Notamacropus eugenii: one gene and its partner. The protein of the gene in region 2 interacts with the protein of the main gene of each other region in a pairwise test. Links are inferred from orthologs where the notes say so. Each region holds a gene or a part of one and is shown on either strand. Other genes may lie near its edges.

Region 1 (15,114 bases), on a different chromosome or scaffold from region 2:
GGAGGTCAAGGGATTGGCCCAGGTCACACTGGGCAATCAGAGGTGAGACCTGAACCCAGGTCTCATGACCCCAGAGACAGTGTTCTGTCCATGACACTTCCAGAAGTGGGCAAAGGGAACAAAACCCCAAAAGAACAAACAACCTCAAGTGACGGACTATTTGTCTGAATGTGGAGGAGGGGGATGCATGCTTCGGACAGGGCGTTGGACAAGATGACCCCCGATGACCCCAGCAGGCCCCACAGTGTCCTGATTATCAGTCCCCTCCTCCCCATGGCCTTTCTTTGTCCCCCCAGTGATGAGCACAGTGCCTAGCACATAGTGGGTCCCAGCCCAGATCAGATCTTCCATCTGGACACTACCCTAGGAAATCCCTCCCCCTACCCTCCGCCAACCCCCTCTTCCACATTCCAAAGAGGGGAATGGGGGATCAAGGGAAGCCTTTGGAAATGGGCAAGGGGCCCACCCTGAGGATGAATGGGCAGTGAGAGACCCCAGAGTGAGCCTGGGAGGAGCCTGGGCACTCACCTTGGCTGGAGCTGGTAAAATGGTTATAATACTGAGACACATAGGTCATGATGCTCAGGCAGTCGGGCACACTCATGGACACCATATCATTGGGATCCAGTAGGGCTGGGATACCCAGCTCCCGCTCTGCCACCTCAAACGCCTAGAGGGAGACAAGAGTCAGCCTGAAACACGGCTCCTGGCCCCCTATCCCCCACCTGATCCCTGCCAGGGCTCTCCTTGGCTCCCAGCCCCACAAACATCACTGTCTACATCCACCCTGCAGCCAGGAGAGGATGGGGAGGGCTGCTTCTGGGAAGAACTGAACAGCCTGCTTTCTCAGACACCTAGAGGGGGTGGGGACAAAGGAAGAGAAGAGGGGAGCAGGGCACTCCCATCAGAGACCCCACCCCAGGAGCCACTTCAGTCCCCAGCATCCAGAGCCCAGAGCCAGGCTGAGGGGCACCATGGAGGCAGGGAGGGGCTGCCCCAGATCCCAAGAGGACCCCCGCCTTCTCTCCCACTTTTGTTCTAGGCCCTTCTGTCTGGGACTCACCAGGCGGTTATTTTCATAGACATTGTCCTTGGAGAGCGAGTCAAAATCTCTGGAACAGACAAAGGTGAGAGTAAGGGATGGGCTGGACAGGACTCAGCAGGTTTGGTAGGGATGGGGGAGTCAGGGACCTGCCAGTTGCAGCGGGTGCACCTGGCACTTACAGATCCCTTCCCATTTGTATAAAGCCTAGAGGAAGAAACCCTGACTATCCTAAACACACACAACTTTAGAGGTAGAAGAGTCCTTAGGGCACAGAATATTAGACCATAGAAGACCTTGGAACACAAAAGGTCAAAGATGGGAGGGGCCTGAGAACAGGGGATGTCAGAGATGGGAGGGGCCTGAGAACAGGGGGTGTCAGCCCTGGGGGGCCTGAGAACAGGGGGTATCAGGGCTGGGAGGGACCTGAGAACAGAGGGTATCAGCCCTGGAGGGCCTGAGAACAGGGGATGTGAGCCCTGGGGGGGCCTGAGAACAGGGGGTGTCAGAGATGGGAGGGGCCTGAGAACAGGGGATGTCAGAGATGGGAGGGGCCTGAGAACAGGGGGTGTCAGGGCTGGGAGGGGCCTGAGAACAGGGGGTATCAGGGCTGGGAGGGGCCTGAGAACAGGGGGTGTCAGAGATGAGAGGGGCCTGAGAACAGGGGGTGTCAGCCCTGGGGGGCCTGAGAGCAGGGGGTATCAGGGCTGGGGGGGCCTGAGAACAAGGAGTGTCAGGCCTGGGAGGGGCCTGAGAACAGGGGATATCAGAGCTAGGGAGGGGGGCCTTAAAAGAGGGGATATCATGGCTTCCATGAACATGAGAAATCATTCTAGTATTTCAGGGACATCCATCATCTCATTCCACCCCCGAGGGATCTGAGAACTGGGAGTCAGTGCTTCTAAACTCTGACCATGAGTCCAGAGCAGCCCAGGACATGGACCCTGGTGTCCTGGCTCACATCCTGCCCAGCATCACCTCCTGCTCCTGTCTCCCTTTGGTGACTAGAAGCTCCGACCTGGGCCTCTGAGGGCCCCCTGAGCCCTTACCACCTCTCTACCCCCTTTTTTCAGACTGGTCACTGCAGTCAGGGAAGGGCAGAAGCTCTTTACCAGAAGGAAGGTGGGTTCTCCGGGAGAATCCGGATTGGAAAACCCTGATTAGGCAGCTAAGGTGCAAGGGCCTGGCTTGGTCGAGGGAGATCCTGAGATAAACAAGGGCCAGGCCTGTCTCTTAAGAAGCTTGATGCAGAGAAAAGCACATAGATTTAGACCAATTGAATTCAAATTGTGGGACCTTGGACAAGTCATTTCTCTCTCTCCCTGGGTCTCAGTGTCTTCATCTGTAACATGAGTTTAGACTAAATGGCCTCCAAGGCCCCTTCCAGCTCTGTTTATCTATGATCCCAGGCCTAGAGTCAGAAAGACCAGAGTTCAAATCCAGCCTCTGACATTTACTAGCTGACTCTGGGCAAGTCACTTAATTGCAGTCTACCTCAGTTTCCTCAATTGTAAAATGAAAACAAAAACTGCACCTACCTCCCAGGATGCTTGTAAGCATCAAATGAGACCCTTGTAAAACATTCAGAAGCATCTGGCACATAGGAGGTGCTTAATAAATGCACCTTGTTTCCTAACCCTATAAGCATGATTCTGCTTGGATCTGATGGTGTCTGGGGGTCCCTTCCAGGGGGCTACTACACTGAGTTTGGCAGTGATGGGAGCTGTTAGCAGGGCTCCAGATTCAGGAAGAGTAGAGGAAAGGTAGGCCCCTTTTAGCTGGGGGTCAGGTGGGGATGGCAATTCAGGAAGGCTTCCAGGAAAAAGTGGCAGCCAAGACTTGAAGAAAGCTGTTTTTCATAGGCCTTGGAGCTTCAGTCAGAGGGTCACATAATCAGACTTAGTCCAGCCCCTTTTTTTTTACAGAGGAAGAAATCAAGGCCCAGAATGCTTCAGTGACAGCCCTTCTAGACTGGGGAGAGCAGAGTGAGCAGTTTGTTTCTTCCACTATCTCTAAACTGTCTTTGCTCGGTGCACTTAGATGGGCTACCTGACTCAGTTCCCCATCACAGGACAGGGAAGGATGAGAAGGGGCCAAGGGCCCCATGGAAGGCCTCAGTGCCCTGGCCCAGCCCCCAAAGCAGGCACCCGCCCAGGCTCTCCAGTCCTTAATCCCCCACAGCCCCAGCAGCTGTCTGCACTTGAATGCTCAGGCTCCTGCATCATTTTCTGACTTAATTGTGTATGTCTCATCCTCCCTGCCCAGACTGAGCTGGTCTGGCAGGCGGAGGGGGGAGGGTTGCCATGTGGTCCACAGGTCTGCAGGTGATGGCCCTCCCCATCAGGTGTGAGCATGATTGGGGGGAGGGCAAGGGCAGGACAGAGGGGCTGCTGTTTCTCTGGGGAAGGAGGGGTCTGAGAATGGGTAATGTCAGAGCTAGGAAGGGCCTTAGAATGGCAGGGCTAGAAGGGGACTTAGAACAGAGAATGGCAAAGCTGGGAAGGGTCTTTGGAACAGGAAATGTAAGAGCTAGGGGGAAGGTGGGGTTGGTCCTTAAGAACAGGGGATGTCAGAGCTGGGGGGAGCTTAGAACAGGATGTCAGAGCTGGGAGCAGCCTTAGAACAGGAGATGTCAGAGCTGGGGGGAGCTTAGAACAGGGGATGTCAGAGCTGGGAGGGGCCTTGGAACAGGAGATGTCAGAGCTGAGGGGGATCTTAGAACAGGGAGTATCAGGGCTGGGAGGAAGCTTAGAACAGGGGATGTGGAAGGGAGCTTAGAGATAATTCTTTCCAACAACATTTTACAGCTAAAGAAACTGAGGCCCAAAGAGGGCTTGTGGGACTTCACTTCCTTCTAATCAATTAACTCACACAGTTGCCACCCCTTGCCCTGAATGGAGATGCCTGAGGAGCCCATCCATCCTCCTCATACCCCTCCTGTGGCTTTGGGGCCACTTGGTTCAGTTTCTGTACCTGTACAGGGAGCATCTGGCCCCAAAAGCCCTCTCAGGTGCCTTCTATGTTAACAGACCTAGAATTCTGAGACTGTCTCTGCCAGCCCTGGGAGGCACCGAAAACACCTCCCCTTCCCAGCCTGTTTTTCCAGCTGAGCCTGGAGCCTCACTCACCTAGACCCTCTCCCTCCCCCCCAGCTCCAAAGCCTCTCCCTCTCCTCGCTTCTCTCCATCCTGGGCAGCTGAAACCAGCCCTGCCCCCCCACATCAGGCAATGCCCTTGTAAGGCCCTGGTGTGGGGGGCCTGGGAGACTAACCAGGCTGCACATAAATGGGCACTGCGCCAAGCCCCAGGGCAGCTCCATCCATCCCCAGCCAGCCTGGTTTCCTTTCCTAAACTGGCGAGATCCGGGCTTGTTCGGTTTTTATTTTGTTTTCCAAGGTGGGGAGAAGGAGGGTTTCCTGTCATTTTATCAACAGCAGGAACTCATCCCAGTATGGAATCTCCCTCCACTGATGCAGACTGGCTCAAGTCACTTCACCCTGTTTGCCTCAGTTTCCTCATCTGTAAAGTGAGCTGGAGCAGGGAAAGGCAAATCACTTTAGTATCTTCGCCAAGAAAACTCCAAATGGAGTCACAGAGAGTCAGACAGGACTGTACAACAACACTTGCAAATACTGTCTTAGACTATAAATTCCTGGGGGCCATGAGACATTAATCCACCCTCCCAGGGCCCTACAGCCAATATGTATCTGGAAGCACTTGAACCTAGGCCTTTCTGACGTCAAGGTCACCATGCCAAGGTGTCTGTCCCCAAACTGTATACCCAGATTAAGGGAAAAAAACCCACAGCATGGGGTTGTGAGAGGCACATTGGAAGACTTGGAGGCCTGGCTGCTGTCCCTGCTCTAAAATTGAGCCTGTCCCACAAACACATATGTGCCACGCACCATACAAGACCTGGCTGCACACAGACATTTCTCCATCAGCTAGATCCCCCATCAGTCTGTAACCAGAGCAAGCTCCCTGTGCTAGGGAGCCTTGAGCCCCACAGACTGCTCTCATCTGCTCCCCTTACTGCACCTTACTATTTTGTCCAAGACAATATTGGCCTAAATTTCCTCCTTACCCACAGGGGCAGGACAGGGGCCTTCACAGCCCTTCAAAGTCTCACTCAAGGCTCTCCCAGACCCAGCCTACCACTCCCTGTGGGAGGGGCCTAGACCCCAGAGGAGCCTCCCCCTTCCCAAACAGTTCATTTGTTCAGGGGTAAGAATGCCAGGGCTAGCCAGGGAGGGAGAAGAGGTCTATACACCTGGTAGAAGCAGAGCACAGAAGTGCCCTTTAACCAGATGTTGTGAAACCAACTAACTTTTTACACACACACACACACACACACACACTCACATACACACATTCACACTAGATACTTGACACTGGGGGAAAGGAAGGCAAGAGAGAATCACTGACTCCTACTGCCAGAAGACCATCAGGGAGCATCCACATTGGCACCTCTGACATACAGCCTGGTGTGGCTTGGCACAGTACCAGAAGATCCCAGGGGCCAACCTGGTTCTGATACTTCCTGGGACCTCAGGCAGGAGGAAACCTGTGAGAAGAAAGCCATGGGTTTGGATCCTAACTCCCATGCTTTGGTCCCTTGGGCACCTTGTATCTCTGGTGTCCAGGTCAGGAGCTGAAAGCTTATCAGCAGCATCTGAGGATATTGAGTTGGAAAGGACTTCAGTGGCCAACTCTCTCACTTTTACAGATGGAGAAACACAGGCCCAGATAAAACGACTTCCCTCCTCTCACAGAATTCTGGATTTTTATCTTCATTCACTCACAGATTCTTGCCCTTGTCCATGAGAATGAGGATGGTCAAAGGGTCAGCCTTTCTGGCCCAACTCTGCTATTGATCTCAGAATCTTAAGGAACAGGAGGAAGGGACTTCCCCAATGTCACCCAGCAAGCTAATGGCAGGGCCCTGAGTTCCTGGGCCCCCCAGCAAAGTGCTTTCTCTGTGCCAGATTGACTGGTTCTAAGACCCTGATCGGCAGTGCAAAGGACCAAGCAGGGCACCTGAGTTCTGGTCTCAGTTTGGCCCCTAATGGGCCATGTGACTTTAAACACAGTCTTAGGCTCAGAGGCCTTCCCAGGCATCTAACCCAACCTTGAATTTTTACAGATAAGGAAACAGAAAATTACACACAGCTGGCAAGGCCTTCAGAAGCCCTGGAGCCCAACTCCCTCCGAGAGCGCCCAGGGTTCAAACGCTACTTCTGACACTTGGGACCCTCAGGAACCCATTCAGGCTCATCAGGCCTCAGTTTCCCCCTCTGTAAAATGCTGGGTGGCCTCTGAGGCTTCCTCCAAATCTTAAACTCTGTCTTCTACATCAGAGGTGTCGGACACACTGCCTACAACCTTCCAGAGGGCAGCCAAGTCAGATTAAAATCCAATTGGAAAATATTTAACCAAAAAAATTTACAATAAAACGTAGATAGCATTAGATTTTAAAACTAAGTCCATCTGTGGCCCACAGGGTTTGGCCTCAGCAGCCTCTGCCTTGGGCCCTGGGTGCCCCATCTGCACATACAGAGTTTAGACCAGATCTCCGAACCCCTGCTTGGAGCTGGGGCTGCTCCTGCCTCCGGGTGGTAGCCCATCTGCTGACCCACCTGGGGAGAGTGACCTCGGGAAGCGGCCGGAGGATCTGAGCAAGGCTTCGGGAACCTGACGGGCGGCTCGGCACCTCTCCCTCTCCCACACACTCACAGTCACACTCCCACAGTCTCACACACAGTCACCACACACACACACACACACTCTCACACTCACTCTCATACACACTCACGCTCGCACACTACACACACTCACTAGTCTCTCCCACGCCCTCCCAAAGGCACAGGAGGGGTCCCGCGCCCCCGTCGCCGCCCCCCCCCCGGCCCGCGGCTCGGCGCACACCGGGAGGTCGCGCGCGGTTCCCACGGCCTCCGGACCAAACGAAACTGACGAGCCTCTCTGCAGCCCCGCCCCGCAGGCCGGGTCCCCAGCCCGCCTGGCCCCGGCTCGAGGCGGGGGCGCACTGCCCCCTCCCCCCTCCTGCTCCCCGGCCCCCATCCCCCCGCGCTCACAGCAGCTCGGGCCGGTGCCGGTGCAGCAGGGCGCAGAAGGCCAGGCCGTCCCGGAAGGAGCCGCTCAGGTCCCGGATCTCCACGCCGGGGTAGCCGCGGCACTGCTGACGGCACCAGGCCAGCAGCGCGGCCCGGGGCCCGGCCATGGCCCGGCCGCCGCCTCCTCCTCGGACTGGACCCCACGGCAGCCCCGCTCCGGCCGCTCGGGCTCGGGCTCCAGGGCTGGGCTCTCTGTCGGCTCGGGCTCCTCCTCCTCCTCCCCCTCCCCCTCCTCCTGCCCCTCCCCCCGGCCCTGCTCAGACCTGTCCGGCCCCGCCCCGCCCCGCCCGGCGCTTACTCACGCGCCCCGCCCGGCCCGGCTCGGCGCACGGGGCGGGGCAGGGGGCGGAGGAGGCAGGGGGGACCGGGGGCCCACCCTCACCCCGCATCCCCCCTGGAGAGGCACCGCAGACCTCCCCCGCTCCCTCCCTCCAGCCCCGCGGGGGCCCCCCCAACTCCCGAGGTGCACGTGCCCGAGGGATCCCCCGGGGCCCCAGACCGACCGCGCCGGGGCTACCCTACCCTGAGGGCTCCCCGCTGCAGAGAGGAGCCGCCCCTGCACGGACACCCGAGGGACGGAGCCCCCGACGTCCCCACCAGGGCCTGATAAAGCCGAAGGGCCCCCCTTCCTCCTCGAGGCGGGCGAGAACTTCCTTCCTGGAATACCCTTTGCGCCCTCCTAAGGATGCCCGGCACGAGCCCTCCCCCTCCCAGGCCCGGGAGCCCCTCGCTGGCCTCGGGAACATCCTCCTCCAGGATCCGCCAAGTACCCCCCTCCTCCCGGCCTCCGCCCCCCAGCTCAGCCTGGTCTCCTCCCTGACGCCAGAGAGCGGCCCCCGAGGTGGGAGGCTGAACACGCGCACGGAGACAGGGGGTTCGGTAACCAGGACGTGGAGGAGCCTGGAGTCCGAGGGCTAGCCCTGCGGCTTGCACCTTACACGGCCTCTCGGGCCTCCGTTTCCCCGTCTGCACAATGAAAGGGCTGGCCTCTGAGATCTCCAGCTCCAGCTCTGGGGTCCGATGGCCCTAACCAAGCCTTCTTTCCCTCGCTGAGTCTCCATTTCCCCCTCAAGATCCCTCCCAGCTCTAAAAACTAGGATCCTCTAATGACTGCTTAATACTATAAGGATAATACTATACTAACATTTACCCAGGACTTACTGCTGATGTGCAAAGCCTTGGACCTACCAAAGTGAAAACCAGCAACAGTCTTTGCCCTGAGGGAGTTAATAAGCCTAATTGTGGGGAAGCAATAATATATACTTGAATTAGTATAGTACAGAATGTCCTAAAAGTCTTAGTGCAGTTTAAACTCATAAAAAAAGAGCGAGTGCAGAAGCTGCACTCAAACTTTTGGGACAGATCTAGTGTGTTGGAGACAAAATGCTTCTTTGGTTTGGGCAGCCCTGAAACTTTCAGTTGGACTAGGACCAAGGAAGCCTTCCTAGACAAGGTGGTCCTGAGCTGGACTTTTGGGGAAAAAGTTGTCACCAGGCCAAGCTGAGGATGGAGCACTTATCAGGCTGGAGAGGGATAGACTGTGCATGCATGAAAGGGATAAGATGAGAGCTATAGTAATGCTCCTGGAGTGGGCAAAGGGAATACTGTGAAAGAAAGCTGGAAAGGGGGATCGGAAGCCAGGCTAAGGTTTTTGTATTTTATACTCCACTAGCCCATCCCTGTAACTTTCAGGACCAAAGTTCCCCTCCTTGCCCACCACTGTGCTTGGCATGTAGACCAGGCTTAAAAAATGCTTTGACTTTCATTCTTTTATCCTGGAGGCAAGATCGAACCAATGAAGTTTAAGGAGTTAGGGAGTGACCTGGTCAGATTCATTTGGGGCCAAGTGCACCTTTTCTATGACTGGTAGATGGTTCTTGAGAGTCCCAGAGACTAACAACTATATCCTACTGTCGCTTAGCAAGGCTGGTCATTGGATTAGTCATACACTGTCACCAGGGCCCTTAGAATCTATGCCCTAGATCATTCTTGGTTTGTCTTATCTCCAGGTCTATGGTGACCTTCAGACGAGAATGGACAAAACCCAGCCATTATAAATTGTAAAGCTGCAAGCCACTACTAATAACAATGGCTATGATAAGCCAAACCACTACTAACAACAAACCACCATTTATAGCAAGTCCTTAGTGCTCGAGTAGGGGGAGAGATTTGCCCACTGTTATAAGATCAGAAATCTAAAGCTGGAAGGAACTTCAGCATCCCTCTAGTCCAGGCGTAGGGAACCTGCAGCCTCGAGGACCTCAAGTGTAATCCAAACTTCACAGCACAAATTCCCTTCATAAAAGGATTTGTTCTGTAAACACTGATTCAGTCAAAAGGTTGCACCCAAGGACCTAGAGAGCCACAGGTGGCCTTGAGGCTGCAAGTTCCCTACCCTTGATTCTAGGCTAACATCTTCAGTTTACAGAGGAAACTGAGGCTCAGGGAGCTGAAGAGATTTGCCCAGGGTCACTCAGGTAATAAATGTCAGGGATGGAATTAGCAGAGACAGAGCAGCTAGGTGGCTCAGTAGATAGAGTACCAGGCCTGGAGTCAGGGAGACTCATCCTTGTGAGTTCAAATCTGGCCTCAGATACTTATTAGCTGTGTGACTCTGGGAGAATCATTTGACTCAGTTTCCTCATTTGTAAGAAGAACTGGAGAAAGAAATGGTAAACCAACTCCAGTAGCTTTGCCAAGAAAACCCCAAATGGGGTCATAAAAAGTCAGACAGGACTGAACCCAACTGAACAACAACATGGAATTAGCACTCAGACCTTCTGATTACTAAATGAGGTGTTTTTCCCACTCCACTAACTTCACCTATTATATTATCATCACTCCAGTGATGTCATTCGGATGTGTCTGCTCAGCTGTGCTCCCAATCCCCATTGAGGTTGCTCTTTTAAGCAGGCAGCTGAGTCAGGGAGAAGCCAAGTAAGTGAGCTCCGCACATGGATTTACTGGAGAGGTTTCCCTAGCAATTATCGCATTTATGAAGCCTTTAATCCCAATGTGATGTCACTACCCAAAGGACAATAGGACTCCTTAAATCCATTCAACCAATAGTCATTAAGGTCTGTGCCCAGTGCCATGCTAGATACGGACGACACAGAGGAGGAAATGTGCTGCTCTCCATCATCAAAGCACTTACCACCAAGCAGATGGTGCCCCTCAAACAAGGGAAAGGACCTGAGCAGGACCAGGAGAGCACAGATTCAGAATCAGAGGGCAGAGCCAGAGATCTTTCCACTGTACCACAGATAATGCCTGTAGAGTTTATAAAGTGATTTGCATGTATGGTACAGTGGAAATAGTGCTTCTTTGGGTTAAAATCCTTCTGTCACTGTCTATCACTACATCCCTGAGTCTCAGTATCCTCGTCTATAAGATAAGGATGTTGAACCTCTGAGGAGTCTTCCAGCTGTAGGGTCTTATGACTTCTCTGGGCCTCAGTTTCCCCATTTGTAAGAGGAAGGGGTTGGACTAGAAGGTTTCTGAGGTCCAATTCTGTTTTCCCTTCTTAGGATACCTGCGATATTGCAGGCTCCTGCTCTCACAACCCTCCAGAGAGCAGGTAACCATCTGCTTCTTCCAGGTCTAGATCTGGCATCTCCTTGATGTCCCTTGTGACCTAACTGTGTGGCTTTGGACAAGGCTCTTGTTTCTCTGGCCTTTGATTTCTTTACCTGTAAAATAACAGGAGAAGGTTGGACAAGGTGATCCAGCTCCAGGCTGAAGCAATACAGTGTGACTTCTGTAACATGGAAATCTGATATGGCACTAATGGGCACTGGGCACTGATCCAACCCAATGAGCACTTAGTCAATGCCTACTGTGTGCCCTCAGAGGCTACAAGTTGTAGAGGAGGTGCAGGTCTGTGTTTGTAAAGGGATTTTCCTCACTGGAAGTTCCCTCTGCCAGTGAAATCACAAGTTTGGTTAAAAAACAAATTCTAGATGCTGAAGAAACAAAAGCTAAATAAAACGAGTCCCAGTTTCCTGGAGAGCCCTTTGGAAACCTTAAAGGACTAAAGAAACGGTGTGGGTGCTTTCTCCCTTCTGGAGAGGCCCCCAAGTCAAAATGGAGGGGAACGAAGGAACATGAACCTGTATGTAGAGTCCAAATGCATCAACTCTCATTTTACAGACAAGGAAACTGAGGCCCTCAAGATTCATAGGATCATAATTCAGAACACCTCCAAGGTCCCCTTAACCAACACTCTCATGCATCAGAAGCAGAAGTGGAATCCAGGTCTCCTGACTCCAGAGGCAGTGTTCTTTCCATGGTACAATTGATTAGAATTAAATTGGAGAAGGGAGTAGTTCCTTTGAGCTTCTGTCGATGACAGAAAGTGGGTGAGGAAAGAGCTTGGAGGATGGGAAGTAAAGGCCTTCGACCTGCCCTTGGATCTTCACAGCACCACCAGACCTGTCTCAGAAGGAAACAAAGAGACACACACACAGACACACACACACACACAGACACACACACACAGACACACAGACACACACACACACACACACACACACACACACACACACACACACACACACACACACACACACACACACACACACACACACACACACACACACCCCCAGCAGTGGGTTCCAGGCCACTGAAGAAAACAACCACCTTTCCTACTTGCTTACCAACTCATTAACAACCCCCTTGGTACTTTGTCCTGTCCTGACCCTAAGGCCAAAGCACATGCTTATCAGGAGAAATCACCTTGCCAAAGTTGCACCACAAAATGGGGGACAGTGTGACCTGACAGTTCAGCGTTCCCTGGAGCACTTCTGGTCCCCAGAGGCAATTTGTGTTCTCTTCTTAGGATACCTGTGAGATACATTCATCCTCCTTCCCATATTCCTCCAAGACCAGGCAGTCATTAACCTCCTAATAATACCAACTAACATCATAGAACAAGACTGGAAAGAATAAATTATGTATTCCCATTTTGGATGGCTTTCTGTGTCCATCATCACATCTGAACCTGCCAATAGCTGACTTTCCTGGCTGTTTCCCACCTTCCTGGGCTGTCCTTGACTCTTCCAGCACCCATGACCATCATCATTCTCACCCTCAATATTAACAAGCATTTAATGAGCTCTCGCTCTGAACTGGGCAAGCACTGATCCAAAGCATGAACTGAGTTTTGTTTTAAATCCTGTGCCACAAAGCATCACCTGCTGACCAGCAACATAGGGACAGTGGATAGAAAGCTGGCTTCCAAGTCAGGAAGGTCTGGATTCAAGTCCTGACACACCCTGGCTGTAGAGCCCTGGGCACCTGTCAGTGCCCTCAGGAACCTCTCTAAAATTATTACCAAAGCAGGTGCTGACAAGCTTTGGTAGAGGAAGTAGATTCCCCCTGGGAGGTCCCTACCCCAGTGAAGTCACAGGTCCAGCCCATGAGGATTATGCCCAAATGGGGAAACAGAGGCACAGAGATGTTCAAAGGGATATGCCCTCCTTGGAGTATTGAATTCTGAACAGATCAATACCTGAGCCCTCTGAAGCCCAGGGCACAAAAACTATTAAAATTATCTGTGTGGGATCATAACTCAAGCCTCTTTTGTTTAAAAAAAAAAAGTCATTTTAATAGAATACAAGCTTTTCATTGAATTATGGGTTTTTTCACTTAAATTTATATTGCAAGGTTGACACATAAAAATAAAACATTAATCTTTTCTTTTTAGGATGAGGTAAGGATTTGTAAAATAAGAGAAGAAAAATAAAATCCAGAAAATGCAAATATTACGTCAACTGTGGATATGATTCTAAAAAATGAAAGATTGAAGCAAAATGAAATATGAGAAGAGAAGTTTTTCATCTAAAGTCTCCCAGCTATGTCAGTAAGGGTACAGCAGGGATTAGAATCCAGAACCTGGTCCAGGGCTCTCTCTGCACCTGCCTCTCATTCACTATTCCAGCTTCCACAGTGGGAGCTGGGATGGAGTATCTGGTTCAGGGTCCAGGAGATCTCTATTTGAAGGGCAGAAGCTTGTAATACCTGGACCTCAGTCCAGGAAAATGGAGAAGATCCTTGTATCATCTGCCTTGTGGGGTTATGGGGAATAAATTTCATAGGATCCTCAGCCTGGGGCTGGTGGGGGCCTCAGAGGCCACCTCCCCCACCTCCTTCATTTTAGAGATAAGAAGACTGAGGCCCAGAGATGAAGTACAACAGCGAGAGAGGCAGCATTTTTGAAATCAGGTCCTCTGACTGCCAATCAGTCCACATTCCACTGTAGCATGTCACTGCTCTCATTGCGTCTCTCAAGGGTTTTTGAGGAGGCAGCCTGGCTTCCTAGATAGAATGTTGGACATAGAGCCAGGAAGACCTAGGTTCGAATCTGACTCCTGACACAAACTGTATGACCTTGGCTCTAGCCTCAGCTTCCTCACCTGTAAAATGGGGATCATAACACCTACAGTACTTCTCTCATCCGATTGTTATAAGGTTTCAGACGAGATCTTGTAAGAAATGGCCTTTAAAAATGCCCCTCCACTAACACACACCATTGTCTCTTCTACTAAAAATAAAACTCTAGCTCCTCCACACCTGTCTTCTCTCCGACCTTGTCCCATCAGTCATCACCTTTGGGCTGGAAGGAAGTAAATCATGGCAATCTCACTTCATTTCCTTTTCTGGCTCGATAAGTAGACTGACTGGTGGATCAGCGGGTACTGTTGTCATTTATCCAGATTTCAACAGAGCATTTGATGAGGTCTCTGGCACTAAGTTTGAGATGAAGAGACATGGGTTGGAGGATGAGATAATTACATAGATTTGGAACTGTGTGCATGACTCTGCCCAAAGATAGTCATTAATGGGTCAATGTCAGTTTAGAATGGAATAGAGAGATCCAGGGAGCCAGACTTGGCTCCAATCTTTTTTTTAAATCAGTGATTTGGATGAAGGTATGGACATTATATTGGTCACATTTGGAAACAGTACAAAACTAGGAGGAAGCTTAGCTAATGCTGGATGATAGATAGGGTCAGGAGCCAGAGACTTCTGGGTCAGAACTAAGGAAATGAAATTTGACAGGGAGAGACAAAAAATTCTATATTTGCCTTGAATGAAGGAACAGATGCCTGGGAAAAGCATTTAGGGTTATTAAGGACTTAGCACATACCAGGCCCTGTTAGCCATGGGTATACAAATGCAAAAAGCAAAGCAAAGCAGTCCCTGCTTTCGAGGAACTTAGGGCATTCTCTCTGGCTCTCCCCCAGATTTGGAAGGCTCTCACTCCTCTGCTCCAGCTAGTGACCTCTCTGGCTTCCTTTAAGTCCCAACTAAAATCCCACCTTCTGCAGGTATCCCCTTTTTCCTCCAGCACCTTTCCTCTGTTAATTATTTCCTATTTATCCTGTATATAACTTGCTTTGTATGTATTTGTTTGCATGTTTTCTCTCTTATTAGATTAAGTTCCTTGAGGGCAGGAACCGTCTTTTGCCTCTTTTTGTATCTTTGATGCTTAGCACAATGCCTGGCATATAGTAAACACTCAACAAATGTTGATTGGCTGATGAATTGACTGATTACAGAGGAAGGATACAGATAAATGAGAGTGGTGATGAGAAGGAGAGCTGTTCTGGTCTGGAATATCATAGGGATGGTGAGGGCTGCCATCTTTCTAGGAATGGCACTGTTAATTCAATTAATGTTGGGGGGGCGGGGCGGGGTAAGAAGGGATTGAAGATGATTGGAGATCATGTAGGTGGGTTTAGATCTGCTAGATCAGGGAAACTTTCACCAAACAAGAGCTTGGGGCCCATGGTGGGATCTGGAATGTTGGACTGGAGGTAGAGACTGAATCCAGTGGATCAACAAGCATTTTTAAAAAATGTTCTGTAAAAATTTAAATGAACAAAAATCTATTTTCTCCCTTTCCTACATTCCCCTACTACCACACCAACTGAGAGGGAA
Region 2 (15,283 bases):
GGTATATACATAAATATATACATATTTAAGGTAAGTATTTGCATGTATATGTATACACACATGCACGCACATGCACACACACACACACACAGAGAAATTGAGGGTTGGAACAGTGAAATTTATACTCAGTCACATAGACAATAAAATGTCAAAGCAGGATTAGAACCCAGGTTTTTCCTGACTCTAGGTCCAGAGCTCATTCCACTAAACCATGCTATTTCTCAACTATATTATGGATGAAATAAATTCTCCCATCTCAATAGGAGCCTGCAGCAGGGCTTTTCCCCATGGAGTCACAATAATACAAGCTAGCCGGCTACATGCCAAAGAACCAAGTAACCCATCCTTGCTCTACCATCAATGTCAGATTGAATGCTTTTCATATTCCCATCTCCCTAGAGCCCTCAGGGCACCAGTCCTTAGGACAGAATTCCCATGATGAATCTGAAACAGTAAAAAGACGAAGCCAGCATTAATTGATGCCCTTGCTCAAAGGACTCCAGTTTCCTTGTATCCTGCTCAGGACCTCCAAGAGGTTGAGGAGGAATGAGCGCTGTCCATGGACGAGAACCACAGCCCCACTCTGCAGCTTTGGCAGGCCTGGGACCTAGAAAAGAAGTCAAAACAAGCCAGGGGAAGGTACGTGGGACCTGAAAGCCTAGGGGAAGGATGACAGCTCAGAAGGGATCTGTAAGGATGTTCTTGGGTCCACCTTTCTCTATTCCTACAGTTCATCAGAGAAACAGCTTTCCTGGTGAAATAATGTGAAGGAAAAGGGAGAAGGGAGTGGGCATAGCAGTAGAAAATTGTGTTATCATACTCCAATGATGAGTCATCACTGAGAATGATACAAAGAATACCTGACACCAGAAGAATTAATAGAGGAAGATGGAGAGGAAGCCTGCAGAGCTACTTTTCTCTAACAGCTATGCAGGTACATTATTTAAAAATAAATAAACTTCATCAGCTTCTCATTGCTCAACGGCAAGGATAGTGATACAGATGGAACATATGACATAAGGGATTTGGAACTGATCTTGACCTGAGGCAGCACTGGCAACCTAACTTGTGGTACGGAGCACTTGCCAATCTGGTCCCCCACATACAATCTCAGTGCCCTGAAGTCAAGCACTTCCCACTTCCCTGTGGGTGTCTACATGGGTACTGCAAGCATATGTTCATGTCCTAAGAAATGCCCATCTCCACGGCAAACAGGACCCAAGGAGATACCAATGCAGGACCAATCTGTGGGTAGGCAGATTACCTGAGAGATAAGCACTTAAGGATGAGTATCTGGTGGTCTATAAGTGATTCTGAGCTAGTATACTAGAGGCAGGCTGCACTAGCAGAGAACAGAGGCTGGGCCAGTTTGTTGTTTATTTTATTACTTGGGTGGCTGGGCCTTGGGCCAGGGAAGTTATTTCAGGCAGAGACCACAGCTTGTTAATTAATTATTAGAAGAATGTTCTTATCTGCATGTTCTTCCTTAGGCAGGCAACAGACCTAGTGGCAAGAGCATATAATTACAGGCAGACACTTGGAGAGCAAGCCAGTGGCCAAGGAAACAGGGGAAGAAGAGGCACATCCTTGGTGCCCAGATACAGTTTCCTCCCAAGTAAGCTGGGCATCCTGGTACCCCGCTAAGGACCTGACTGAGAGAATTCCTGTGTAACAGGAGAAGCTGAGATAGGGGAAAGAATAGAAAGACAGCTGGGTTCCTGGGCCACTAGCTTCCCCAAGGAGAAGGAAGAGTCTTGGCAGGGATGAGAGGCTCCGAACAATGACACAGTGAAGTCTGTATTGCCCCCCTAGGCCACAGATACCACTGGGCTGGCAGCATCTCTTGATATACTCTGCAACTCTCTGCCACAGAAGGTCAGCACCTACATAAGATCAGGGGTCTTGAACCATTTGTGTAATGGATTTTCCTTGGCAGTGTGGTGAAGTCTATGGAACTCTCTTTTCACAATAATGTTTTTAAATATATAAAATACGTAAGATTACAAAGAAAATGAATTATATTGTAATAATTATGAATTTTTTTTTAAAAAAAAGCTTCACAGACTCCAGGGTGCATTTTTAATCTCACTAGTGTTAAGGGAAAAAAAGGGGGGGGATTCAGCCTAACTTTGAAAGTGAGGAAGAAGAGGGTCTCTGCTCTATCCTTTCCCTGCCTTGGACGAAGAAGAATTTGTGATGGTCATCTCCTCCAAACACAATGCCATAGCCAGAGATGACTCAGACTGCTGAGGAAGGGGGTGTTGTATTTAACGTGGAAATTTTTCATAGTACAAAAGCACTTAACTCAGACCACTTCTCTCTGGCTCCCTTAGCCTCTTAAAGATACTGCCCTCAAGTTTCTCTGGCTTCTTACCCCTCTGGATATCTCTCAGAAACTGGCACTTTAAATGAGGGGGGTAAGCCTGTCTTAAGGGATGGGTCATAGAGAAGCTACTGGACCAGGAACCTAGTTATCTTCCTGTCCCTTCCCTTTGGGAATGGACTCAGACTGCTCTGAAATACATATGGGAAAAACTAACACTGGATTCCACAGACCTCAAAGGGTAAGAGCTGATCTGCTCCTATTACCCAATCACCCTTTCTTGCCACACTTCTTGTAAACCAGTCATACTCCTGTAAGCCTAATGCTGGCAATATTAATTAATAATAATAATTTCTTTATATAATACTTAAAGATTTACAGAGCTCTTTATATGCATTATCTCCCCAGAACCAATAACCCTATGAGATAGGTCCTACAGGTATTATTATCCCTACTTTAGAGAGAAAAATAAAATGGATTAGAAAGGCAGTGTAGTACAGTGGACAGAATGCTGGCCTTGGAAACAGGAATCCAGCTTCAGACACAAACTAGCTGTATGGCCTCAGTTTTTTCACCTGCAAAATGGAAATAAGAACAATAGCACTAACCTTACATAGTTTTTGAAAGGCTCAAATGATACAATAGCTACAGTGTTACGTAAACCTTGAAATGCCTTAGAAATGTGAGGGAGAGTTATTATTAAAGTGACTTTCCCATGGTCACATAGTGACTAATTGGATCTGCTACCAGAAAGAGCCAAGATGATGTTCACCGTAGTTCCAGTAGGCTACAAGCACAAAGAATCACAAGCATTTTTTTAAAATTTCCACGTGATCTGGTACCTCTAATTCTGAGCTTGACCTGTCCCAAAAGTTAGGAGTGATGAGCATACTTTCAGAGACAACTAGTACAACATCCATGATGTTCTTATCCTTAATTCGTAAATATATCTACTCAGTAGTTCCTTAGCCAGCCATAGAGTTTACTGGACTAGTGGAGAGGAAGGAATCGAGAACACTGATTTATCAAGCAACTACTATGTGCTTAGAAAGCACTTTCCAAATATTAGCTCATTTGAGGGAGGGAAGGGAATGAGCATTTATATGGTACTTACTACGTGTCAAATACTGTGTTAAGCCCTCTACAAATATTATCTCAACTGATCCTCATACCAATTCTTTGAGATAGGTACTATTATCATTCCCATTTTACAACTGAGGAAACTGAGGAAGAAATTAAGTGCCATTCTCAGGTTCACACACACAAACACAACATGCATGCACGTGCACGCATGTACACTGTCTCTCTCTCTTTCTCTTTCTCTCTCTCTCTCTCAGGCTCTAATCCAAAGCTGAGATCTTTTCCACAGCCACCCTAAAATGATGGTTTACCCAATCTCTGTCTAGATTTCACTAGTGAATGGAAGGCTCACTATCTCATATTTACCAGATCTCGTTAGAAAATTTCTTCATGAACGAAACCAAAATTTCCTTCCTTGTTAGTTTTACCCATTGGTTCTACTTGTATCCCCATGGAGTTATACAGAAAAAGTTAACTTCTTTTTTCATAAATCCTCTTTTTTTTTAAAGAAAGATTCTTTTGTTAAAAATTTATGTGATTCAGTAATGTAATAAATAAACAGATAACCATTTCACAAAAAATGATACAGCTATATTAAAGAAAAACATTAACTGGGGAAATTGCACACAGTGGCATGGAAGACTTCCTGTAGATACAAAATAAATATTAACAGCCTTTTTCAGCCAATAAGACCATAAAACAGCTCTTAAATTATTTAGAGATATTTATTGTTATCTCTTGATCTTTCCTTTTTCAGACTAAATCTCTCCAATTCTATAACTATCCTGGTAGCTGCCCGTACTGCCTACCACCTTGACAAAACTGAATTGACTGATGTCCTCCTTAAAGAGTGGCACCCACACTTGAATACACTATACAAGATCTGGTCAGTCCACCGCAGAGTAAGGTAAAATCTCCAGCTTCAGGTGGTATCCCTTGAACCATGGCAAGGCACCAACCTAAAACCCTGCAGCCAGAGCATGAAAGCTCAAACTTTTTACCATCATCATTTATGCTATGACACAATAAATAAAAAATAATCTCAATGTCAGGATTACCAAAAAATTCAACAGAACAATTTACAAAATGCTACTACTGGGAATACGAAAATTTTAAAATGTAACATAGTTCCTACCCTCAAGGAGCTTATCTTCTTGGAAGTGGAAAGGAATGAGGTGGGTGTTTTTTTTACAATGACCCAAAGAGGAAAGTGACGAAACATTGTTGTCACCATTTTGTGGACTAGTAAACTACAAAACAAAGAGACTCTCTTTAAGTTACTGCAGTTGATAGATGCCACATCACCATCCAAGGTCAGGGCTCTTTCTGCTATGCCACATGTTATGACTGGAATGGAGTTATGAAGGAGCTTGCAGTTCACAAAATGTCCTAAAACACAAAGCATAGACCCTTCTGGGATCAACCCTCAAGGCAAGCTGTTAAGACAAACTGATCCTGTAAAGTCCCCTCCAGCCCAAGCAGTCTGTCACTCCAAGGAATGGGCAGTCTTCTCTCAAGGTAATGAGCATCTCTTAATATTCTTACTCACACTGGACCAAAAATCTGGAACTCAGAGTTCTAATCCTGGATGGCCAAGAACTATTGGTCACCTTAAGAGTGTCATTTCTCCCTCTGGGTTTTTGTTTCCTCATCTATAAAACAAAGGGATTGGGATGATGACTAAAGTCTCTTTCAGCACTCATAAATCAATAAAGACCAAGTTCAAGAAAAGGAAGAGGAAAATCTGACATTTCCCCCATGTGAGATCAAAGACTTAATATTTGGGGATGCAAAGGAGACCAAAGAAATGCGGATGGACAACCAGTACTTAAACCGTTTTTGCATCATCACAGAGGGGCAAATGATTGGACAAGAGTAAACAATACCAGGGTTTAAATCCAATCTCTGATACTTCCTGGTAGGGCAGGCATGGGCAAGTCAGCTAACTATCTGAGCCTTTGTTTCATCAGTAAAATGGCGCTAATATTTGCAGTAATTTACAATTAGGAATATCAGGACTTTTGTGAGAATCAAATGAGATTATGTTATGTGAAATGCTTTGCAAACTTTAAAGTTCTCTCCATAATAATAATAATAGCCAATATTTATATAGAACTTATTACGTACTGTGCTTAGTATTTTACAACGTGTACTTAGCATTTTACAATTATTAACTCATTTGATCCTCACAACCACCATGTGGGTAGGGGCAATTATGCCTATTTTACAAATGAAGAAAATGAGGCAAAAATGGGTTGCCTAGGAATCACACAGCTAGTATCTGAGGCTAGATTTGAACTCAAGTCTTCTTCCTAACTCTAGGCCCAGTGTTCCATCCTCTGGGTCACCAAAATTAAATGCCTTATCCTCCATGTTCTTTCTCTGTGACGATACTTTGTCACCATCCTCTTTGCACACAAGTTATGGGGTTTTGAAGGCTCAATCATTAGGCTACGTACAATGTAGCAAGTCTCAAGATGATTTGTCCATGTATGTCTACTTTTTCCTGGTCGCTTTTGGTAGCAGGGCCTCTACAAACCAAAAAATGAAAATACACACAATTTTTCTCAGTATTTTGTTTTTGGAGGGAGCAGAATTTTTGACCTGGGTAAGTGCCTAGAATATTTTTGCGATCGCCAGTCCTTCCAAAAAGAGGACCTACATGGAAGTCCCCATCATTCCCACCACCCAGAGGCAACAGGGAGCAAAGCCTCCCCGAAATTCACATAACCACGCAGCTACATGGGAGATGGTCCTGGAAGCCATTTCTATCAAAGCTTTCTGCTTTAAATTGATGCATATGGATACTTTCCCACAGACTCCAAAAGAGGCTCTTTTCCCAACCCAAATGCAACTATCTAACCCTTCCACAAACCACAGTTGCAGCTGCTGTCCCTAACCCATCCTGATCTAAGCAAGCTTAATTTCACTTGTAGTGATAATTCCCATATATGAAGGAGTGTGGCTCTCTAATGTCCTGTCTTAAGCCCCTATTGATTTCAGAGATGGAAATGACAGGAAGTCAAGCCTTTCATGGCTGTCCTGGGAAGGTATTTACACCAGGGTCCTTCCCGGTTAACCGAGAACAAGGAAGGAGAAGAACAAAGTCATGTGTGCCTCAGTGGACTCAGAAACATCCTGGAAACTTTGGAACTATGGAAACCTAACCACAGCTTTACTTAGCCATCTCCTTCATCTCTCTCAGGCTGAGTATTAGGGAAATAATATGGCCAACTAAGCCCCCACCCCCAATCCCTTTGTAAGGCAAAAAGGTTATGCAAAAAAGTAGCTAATTCAATTGACATCCAGCACTACATATAGAAGAGTGGAATGGGGTGGTACACAGGGGGCAGAGGAACTTTTCAAATACCAACTCTGACACTATCTGTGTTACCTTGAACAAATCACAACCTCTCTGGGGTTCAGTTCCTTCATCCACAAAAAAATTCAAGCATTTATTTATTAATCACCCAACTACATGAACATAAAATGATGGGGGTTGGCTAGCTAACCTCTAAGATGCCATTCAGCTCTAAATCGATGATCCTAATTTTTCTCTGAGCTCCAGACTGTCTAAAAATATTTCAAGATGTTCGCAGGCTTTGCGTGTGGTGGAGATTCTAAGGAGGTGGAGGTGGGGCTCCGGGAGCTAGGCTCTTTGGAGGTTTTGACACATTCAGATCTATCTAGAGGGTGATGGAAGTTAAGTTCTCTCACCTGATGAAGGTGGTCTTCCCGGTGGAATACTGGCCCACGAGGAGTACCATGGGTTTATTGTCAAAGTCTGCATCTTCCAGGGCAGGGGAGTGAAACTCGTGAAACCTGTAATGCTCTTCCAAAGGGAGCAGCTTGGTCTTGTAGAGTTTCTTGAGCCCCTCGCTCACAGTCTGGAACACCTCCGGGTCCTTCCTCCTTCGGTCGTCATGTCCAAGCCAACTGAACATCTCGGCTGAGCGGGGGCTGAAGCTCCCCTATGGCCTCTCCCAGGTGTCCGCTCTCTCTCCTAGTCTAAGAAATAGGCAGGAAGGGAGCCCCTGCCCAGCCCCCAGCTCTCTCTGCTTTTTCTAACAGGGGAAATTGCTAGCAAAACTGGGTCCGATTTATTTTAAAATTCGGATGGTGAGAAGGAAAAACACAAAACCTCAGCCCCCCACCCCGCAGGCAGGAACACCCCTGGGCTCCTACACACAGGCGCAGACACCCTTGATCTCACTGCGCCTTGCGGCTCACCAGCATCCTGTCTAAGGCACACTGGCTGCGCTCGGTAAACTGCCCGAGCCGCAATGTGCTCCCCCTCAGTGCCTCCATCCACCGGAGAAACCGCGTGGGGAGGGGGTGGACAATGAAGGACCTGAAGGACCTCGGGGCTATGCAGTCCTATCTGCAATCAGGGTGTCAGCCGAGCTCCCGGCCGTCCACCCCCGCCTTCCCCCAGCCGCCCGTGCTGACGGCTCGGGCTGAAGCTGCGAGGAAGCGCTGAGTTAGAATCCCCCCGCCCCGGCTCCCCGCGAGCCCCGCAGACGCCCGGGGAGTGGCGAGTGTCCCGCGGTGCCCAGGAGCCGGCCCGGTCCAGGTCGTCCCGGGAGGAGCCCCGGGAGCAGCCGGCTCTGGCTGTGCTCGGCTCAGCGCCTGCGGACGATGCGGCGGCGGCGGCGGCGAGCGCGGCAGCATGCCCCAGCCTGTGCGGCGGGGCTTAAATGCCAGCCCCGCAGGAAACCGCGGAGCATCGGAAGTGCCTTCTGCTGGCAAGCCCCTGGCGCGCTGCTGGGCGAGCTGAAGCCGCGCAGGGAGCCGCCATGCTTGTGGGCAGGGCCAGGCCAGGGGGATGGGAGCGCTCGGCAGCCCGAGCCGCAGGGGTGCGCCGGCCTGGGAAGGCTGCCGCCCAGGTGTGGCTGCGAGGACGCGGCGCCCCCCTGGGGACGGCGCTGAGGGTGACCGCGGCTGATCGAGTCCCCTCCCCGGCAGCCGCCGCCCCCTGCGGGCTAGAATCCAGACTGTTTGTGACCTCGGAAGGCTCCTGCCCCTGCCCACCCCGAGGTTCAGTGCGTGGCATTTACCCAGGTTAGAGCTGCGGCTGGGCGAATCAGCCTCTGGCCCGGGGTGAAAGGAGGCATCTCTTCCTGCAGTCAGCTCTCTCTCATACCAGAACCTAGCCGGAGAGGGAAAAGACGGCTTTATATTATTTGCAAAACATGTTTAATTTGTTTAGCTTCTATGGGTTCTCTATATGCCCCCGGGTTATCTGGGGCGGGGGGGGGGGGGGGGCGAGGAAGGGGGGAAGGGGAGGGAAGGGTCCAGGCCTGTGACTTCATTTCTGCAGAGAACTCTCCGTGAGCAAAAGGTCTTCTCCCCGTGCAGATCTGGGGCTTCCAGTCTTGGACAGTTGTCCTGGGGGAACGAAGAGGTTAAGTGACTTGCCTAGGGTCAGGTGGTTACAGTGTGTTACTGCCTGGATCTAAACTTATGTTCCCTGACTCCGAGGCCAGCTCAGTTTCCATGGCCTCTTGTTGCTAGGAGTTTAGGCTATTAAGTAGATATAATTTTATTTTCTCTAATGTCACCAAAGCCTAATTTCATTTTCTCATGCAGTCATTCCTCATTATGCTGCTGCTGCTGTCAAGAGACAACGAAAATACCTGTAACTTTGGCTGCAGTGCCTCGCACAGAGGCTGGCACAGTGTAGGTGAAGCAGCAGCAAAGTGACAAAGTGGATAGAGCATTTGGACCTGGAATCAGGAAGCCTGGAGTTCAGATCCAGCCTCAAACACTTCCTAGCTAGGTGACCCTAGGCAAATCATTTAACCCCTGTCTTCCTCAGTTTGGTCAACCTTAAAATGGGGATAATAATAGTATAATAATAGTATCTGACCCTCAGGGTTGTTGTGAGGATCTAATGAGATCATTAAAAAGTGCTTAGCATAGTGCTTGGCACACTGGGATTATGTGAATACTAGCTATTATCATTATCATTATTATACGTGAACAATTGGGTCATTCAGTAAACATTTATTATCAACTTACTCTGTGCCAGACACTGTGCTTAAGCCCTGGGATATGAAGAATGACAAAAAACACTCCTCATCTGAAGAGATGCTTCAAGACTTCAGATTGTCCTATTAGGTCAGGAGGAGCTGCTGGACCTGACCGAATCCATATGGATGAAATCTGTGCTAAAGATGACATGGTTTTAAAGGCAAAAACAATGAGGCACTCAAAGAACAATTTATAAGATATTTCAAAGAGGGAAGATTCCAAAAGAATGGGAAAAATCACAGATGAAGCTATTACTAAAAAAAAACAACCATTACCCACATACCTATCTGTTTTCTCATCTGTAGGAAATCTATGAAAATGGTCTTTGCATCCATTAAAAAGTGTCTTTGGTGAAAACATGAGAAAGAAATAGAGTTTACTCAAATTTTTCCAATACTGTTTTGTTTTTGCCTAGGTTTTCCCAGCTTTTAGCACAGAGCCTGGAACATAGTAGGTTCATAATAAATTCATTTTTAATTGAATCCAATGGACTACAGTAGTCACATCTTTATAGTCACTCAGGTGAGAGATGTTAGGATTCTGCTGTGTTTATTATTTATTGATTTTTAAAAAGCATTTGACTTGGAAAAACAAAGTAGATGAAAAATGCATTACTGTCTGGATTTGGGTAGCCTATTGCAGATGAACAGTGAGTAGGACCCAGAATAGAGTAGAAAGATGAGACTAAAACAGATTGCATTTAGATTCATGTGTTCCTCTCAGTGATTTTATACTGCTTGTTGCTCCAAAGGACTATGTCTTTATTAATATTTGTCATCACATTTTATTAATTTATTTATTAACATATTTAATTTAATATATTTATTAATATTCTCCTGATGTTGCTCAACTTATCTATTTTTCTTTTAGGCCTGTTTCTCTCCTTCCTCTGTACCAGGAGTGGGGAACCTACAGCTTCAAGTTCACATGTGGCCTAGGTCCTCAAGTGTACCCCTTTGATTGAATCCAAATTTTACAAAACAAATTCTTTTATTAAGGGAATTTGTTCTGTGAAATTTGGATTCAGTCAAAGGGCCACACTTGAGGACCTAGAGGGCCACATGTGGACTTGAGGCTGCAGATTCCCCATCCCTGCTCTATCTACACTCTTCAATTTGGTGATCTCATCCTCTGGCTTCAATTGCACGTTTCAGTAAATGACTCTCAGATCTCCAACCCAAAAGCTCTAGTCACATATTTCCAATTATCTACTGGATAGCGCCACCTGGCTAGTCTGTTAACAGTCAGTCAGTCAGCCACCATTTATTGAACAGTTAACATGCACTGGGCTCTGTGCTAAGAGCTAAGACAAAAACTTTTGCAAAGGCAAAGACAAAGTCAAACAAAAAACCAGCCCCTGCCTTCAGTAAACATATATTCCAATGAAAGAGACATGTAAATTAGGAAGTACATTCAAGAAATATCTATATATCATCTATATGCCTATGTCCATCCACATCTCTCTCTACATAGACGTAAAAGGTGAAAGGTACTCTAAAAGGTGAAAGAATTAGCAGCTCACACCACAAACCTTCAAACATCTGCAAACACTTGTCCCATCTTCTTGCTTAAATCCACTTCTCCCCCTAATTTTTCTAGTTCTCTCAATGGCACTGCCATCTTCAAAGACACCCAGCCTGATACTATGAGTCTTTCCAATCTTATGCCCCATATTGGTTGGTCTTCAAATACAGTCTTTTCTCCTTACACATGTTCTCTTGAATCTAGCCCTGTCTCACCATCCACAATGCCTTCATCTTTTCTCACTCTTTTGTCATAAAAGCCTCTTTGTTGGTCTTCTTACCCCTAACCTATAACCATTCCACATTCTCCACAACACTGATAGAGTATTCTTCCTAATAAACCACTATAATTTTTATTCTTTTATTGAGAAGACTTCAGTGGTTCTCCATTGCCTCCTGAGTGAAGTTACTCTCAAAATTTTGATGACGTTTTGGAAAGGGCACTAGACCTAGGGTCAGGAAGACCTCTGTTCAGATTTGGCCTCAGAATCCAATTTACTGTGTGACCCTGGGTAAGTCACTCAATCTCTATCCTCCTCAGTTTCCTTTTCTGTAAAATGAGGATAATATTACTATCTACCTACTTAGTAGAATTGTAAGGATAAAACAAGATATTTGTAAAGCACTTTGTAAACCTTTAAAATATTTACATCTTCGACTGCCTATTAGAGATCTCAAATTAGATGTCTTATAGACATCTTAAACCCAATGTGTTCAAATCTATACTCATTATCTTTTCTCCAAACCCATCCCCCTTCCAAACTTCTCAAATACTGTTAAGGAGACTACCATCCTCCCAGTTGCTTCAGCTCTCAACCTGTTCATCCTCAATTCCTCACTAGTCTCACCCTCTGCCTCCAGTCTGTAGCTGGGTACCTTGGTACTGTCTCTCAAGTATGCCCCTTTCTCTCCTCTGATGCTGCCACCATCCTAGTGCAGGTCCTCATCTCAATGTATCAGGAAATATTGCAATATCCTGCTGGAGGGTCTGCCCTCTTCAAGTCTCTCCCCACTTGGATCCATCTTCTACTTAACTGTCAAAGTAATTTTCCTGAAGGACAGTCCAACCGTGCCACCTACCTACTCAGTAAAGTCCAATTGCTTCCTATTGCATCCAGAATTAAATATAAAATCCTGTTTGGCATTCGAAGCTCATCATAACCCATCCTGCCTTCCCTCCCTACTTCTCTAATCGTATACCATCCCTGCCACATACTCTTTGATCCAGTGACACTGGCCTTCTTGCTGTTCATTGAACCAGACAGTCCATCTCTTAGCTCAGGAGAGATATTGTCACTGGCTGTCCTCTGTGCCTGGAATGATCTCCCTCCTCATTTCTGCCTACTGGCTTCCTACTGGCTTCCTTTAAATCCCAACTAAAATCCCACATTTTACAGAAAACTTTTCCCAGTCCTCTTAGTTCTAATTCCTTCCCTCTTTTATTTATTTCCCCTTTTCCTATAAATAGCCTATTTTTACATAGTTGTTTGCATACTATCTCCTCCATGAGATTGTGAGCTCAGCAAGGGCAGTGACCATCCTTGTACTTAATAAATGCTTATTGAATAAATTGACTAATTGATCAGGGTATGTGCAATAGAACTCCCTATTCCTGGAAATTATGCCCCTCTTAATATAGTCCAGGATCGCATTAGTTTGTTTATCAACAATTCTTCCAAGTTAAAAAATGGCATTCCATAAAAAATTTTTTAAAAAACCCCAAAGACTAATTTAGCTTGCAACTCAACCATTGAGAAAACCATTGGACTTTGGTATACAGCAGAAGTGCTGTATTTGTTCTTCCTGTTTCATCATGCAGAGTATTAAAAAGATATGTTCTCAAGACTCAGGTTTTAATCAAATTAATAATATTTGTTGTTCTTCAAAGCCCTTAAATGAAACCAGCTTTTTTTTGCTTTTAAATTATGAGTACATGGCAGGAAAGAATATAATGATTATTAACAGTTTGTTGCCACTGCCCGGATTTATGCTAAGGCACCAGCAGTTTTATCCACCATTTTTTTCTACTATTATGACAAATGTCAACAGAGTAGTTCCAAGATAAACCACAAGACTCAAAAATTTTATTCAACATTTTGAATATTTCAGCATCACTTCTCTTTGTTGCCAAGCCTTCACATGAAAGAAGTTCTTTTTCAATGATTAGTTGGTGCGGATACTGGATGAATACAAGCAACAAGGCTCATAGATTTCATACATTTGCAAGGCAAATGGATAATTCTGCAGAGGAGCTAGTAGCTTGGTCTTCCTGTTTACAGTTAAATCTTTAATTCTTAGGTCATGCAGCCCCAGGAAAACTCGTCTGTACACTGCGAGAGAATGAGAGTGTTTTAAAAGGGCAAATAATTTCTTAGTATTATTATACCCACTTGAAAGGGTACCCAAGGGTCTGTGGATCACATTTTAATAATCATTGAACTAGATCAGGACTTCTCAAACTCTTTCCACTCTCAACCCTTTTTTTTGGCCAGTTGGCATTGGATGCCCCGAGGGCATGCATGGTGCAAAGTGCACATGCTTTGATTCAGAACCAAAGCTGCAGTAAAACTGTGTGATGCCACATGGGTAAGCGCTGCCAGAAACGCCTCGGATTCATTACACATTTGGTTTTTAATCATTTTTGGTCATTGTGAGTTCAGAAACCTTTTACTGTTGCCAAATTTTTTATGACCCCACATGGGATCATGACCTACAGTTTAAAAAGTACAGAGCTAAATGACCTCTAACGGTGCCTTCTGGCTCTGAATTGATGATCCTATTGTCCGGAGGCAAAAAAAAAAAATCATTGAGAATATGCATGGCAGATTTATTGGGTCATAGGAAATTATAAAAAGGACAGCTTCATAGAAACCTTAGGAAGATTCCTATGAACTGATGAAAAATAAAGTGACCAAGAACAAGGAGAACAATTTTTAAAATATTTTTTCAAGAGGAGCAATATTGTAAAGAAAAACAATTTGGAAAACTTGAGAACTCTAATGAATGCAGGGACTAATCACAGTTCCAGAGGACCAAGCATGCTACCCATCCCCTAAAAGAGAAGTGATGGACAAAAAATGAAGAATAAGGCATACAGTTTTGGAGACAGCTCAATGGGGGAATTTCTTTTGTTGATTATGTATATTTGTAACATTTATTTATCCTCCCTTCCCTTCCTCCCCTCCTCAATGCCTCTCCTCTCTTCTCCTTTCTTCTCCTCTCTTTTAATTTCAGGGTTATGGAAGGGAAGGAGGTAGGTTAGAGACAGGGTAAACAAAATTTTAAAAAAAAGAAAAGGAGGAAAACAGGGACATCAAAACATTTTTTAAAACACAGAAGAGAACAGAAGGGAAGTCAGAAAGAATCACAGACAAGCAGGGAAGCTTTGAAATTACATGTTGAATTTACCACATGTTTTTAAAAGAAAAACAAGCTGTATATAACAGAGATTTGCAGTTATATGTACAATCTTTTTTGGATTATTTTACTATATACATGAAAATACCCATAATGTTTGATGTTTTGTTAAACTAAGAATTAAATTTAAAACAACATTGACAAAGGAGAGTGCATGTAACTGGAAAAGGAGGTGAGTGGGTCACATATGGAGAATGAGAAACTACAAATAGAAAGTTCAAGGGCTACCCTAAGATATGGAAGGGAAACAGAGACAGTCATCTGGGGCCATTAGGTAGATAGTTTATAGAGAATGTATGTAATGACATGGGCAAGAATATCCTAAGAGAAGAAAGCATGGAGGATTTAGGAGCTACACCAATAGAGGGAACATACTATGGAGGAAATCATAGATAGGAAGAAGGGAGGGGAGGAAATAAACATTTATTTAATACCTACCATATCCAGGCACTGTACTAAGAGCTTTTTTTAAAACAATTATCTTCTTTGACCCTTACAACAACCCTGCAAAGTAAGTGCTATGATTATCCCCATTTTACAGCTGAGGAAATTGAGGCAAACAGAAGTGAAGTGACTTGCCCAGGGTCACATGGCTAGCATGTTTCTGAGGTCCAGTTTGAATTTGGTTCTCCATGACTGCAGGCCCAGCTTCTATCCATTGCACTACTAGCTTCTTCCATGAAGGTATCTAAGTGTTTAAGCTGAGTATTTTGAGAATATTTTGACTTTACTTCTATTTCCTGTTAGTATTGTGGTTCACCATTTGATTAATACAGATTCCTAGAGGGACCAAGTTGATCTTTCAGGTCAATTAAGGGTATCAAAGAAATGAAAAAAATGAAGGCCTTGAGACAAAGGTTTCCAAAGCTTGGAATGAAGTTTCTGATTCTTATTCCTTTAATGAGAT

Evidence for each region.
Region 1: the proteins of EHD3 (region 2) and MICALL1 interact in binary tests that used the Homo sapiens proteins (3 or more experiments, as listed by UniProt). The link is inferred for Notamacropus eugenii from reciprocal best matches to the Homo sapiens genes EHD3 and MICALL1.

The regions. Positions count from the first base shown.
Region 1 is NC_092874.1:295,397,430-295,412,543, reverse strand, and holds the start of MICALL1 (MICAL-like protein 1), read right to left. Parts: upstream 7,932-15,114; 5' UTR 7,920-7,931; coding exon 7,696-7,919; intron 7,370-7,695; exon of another isoform or gene 7,281-7,369; coding exon of another isoform or gene 7,135-7,280; intron 1,113-7,134; coding exon 1,064-1,112; intron 671-1,063; coding exon 529-670; intron 1-528. UniProt on the Homo sapiens protein: Lipid-binding protein with higher affinity for phosphatidic acid, a lipid enriched in recycling endosome membranes. On endosome membranes, acts as a downstream effector of Rab proteins recruiting cytosolic proteins to regulate membrane tubulation.
Region 2 is NC_092872.1:533,838,206-533,853,488, reverse strand, and holds the start of EHD3 (EH domain-containing protein 3), read right to left. Parts: upstream 8,081-15,283; 5' UTR 7,348-8,080; coding exon 7,121-7,347; intron 1-7,120. UniProt on the Homo sapiens protein: ATP- and membrane-binding protein that controls membrane reorganization/tubulation upon ATP hydrolysis. In vitro causes tubulation of endocytic membranes. Binding to phosphatidic acid induces its membrane tubulation activity.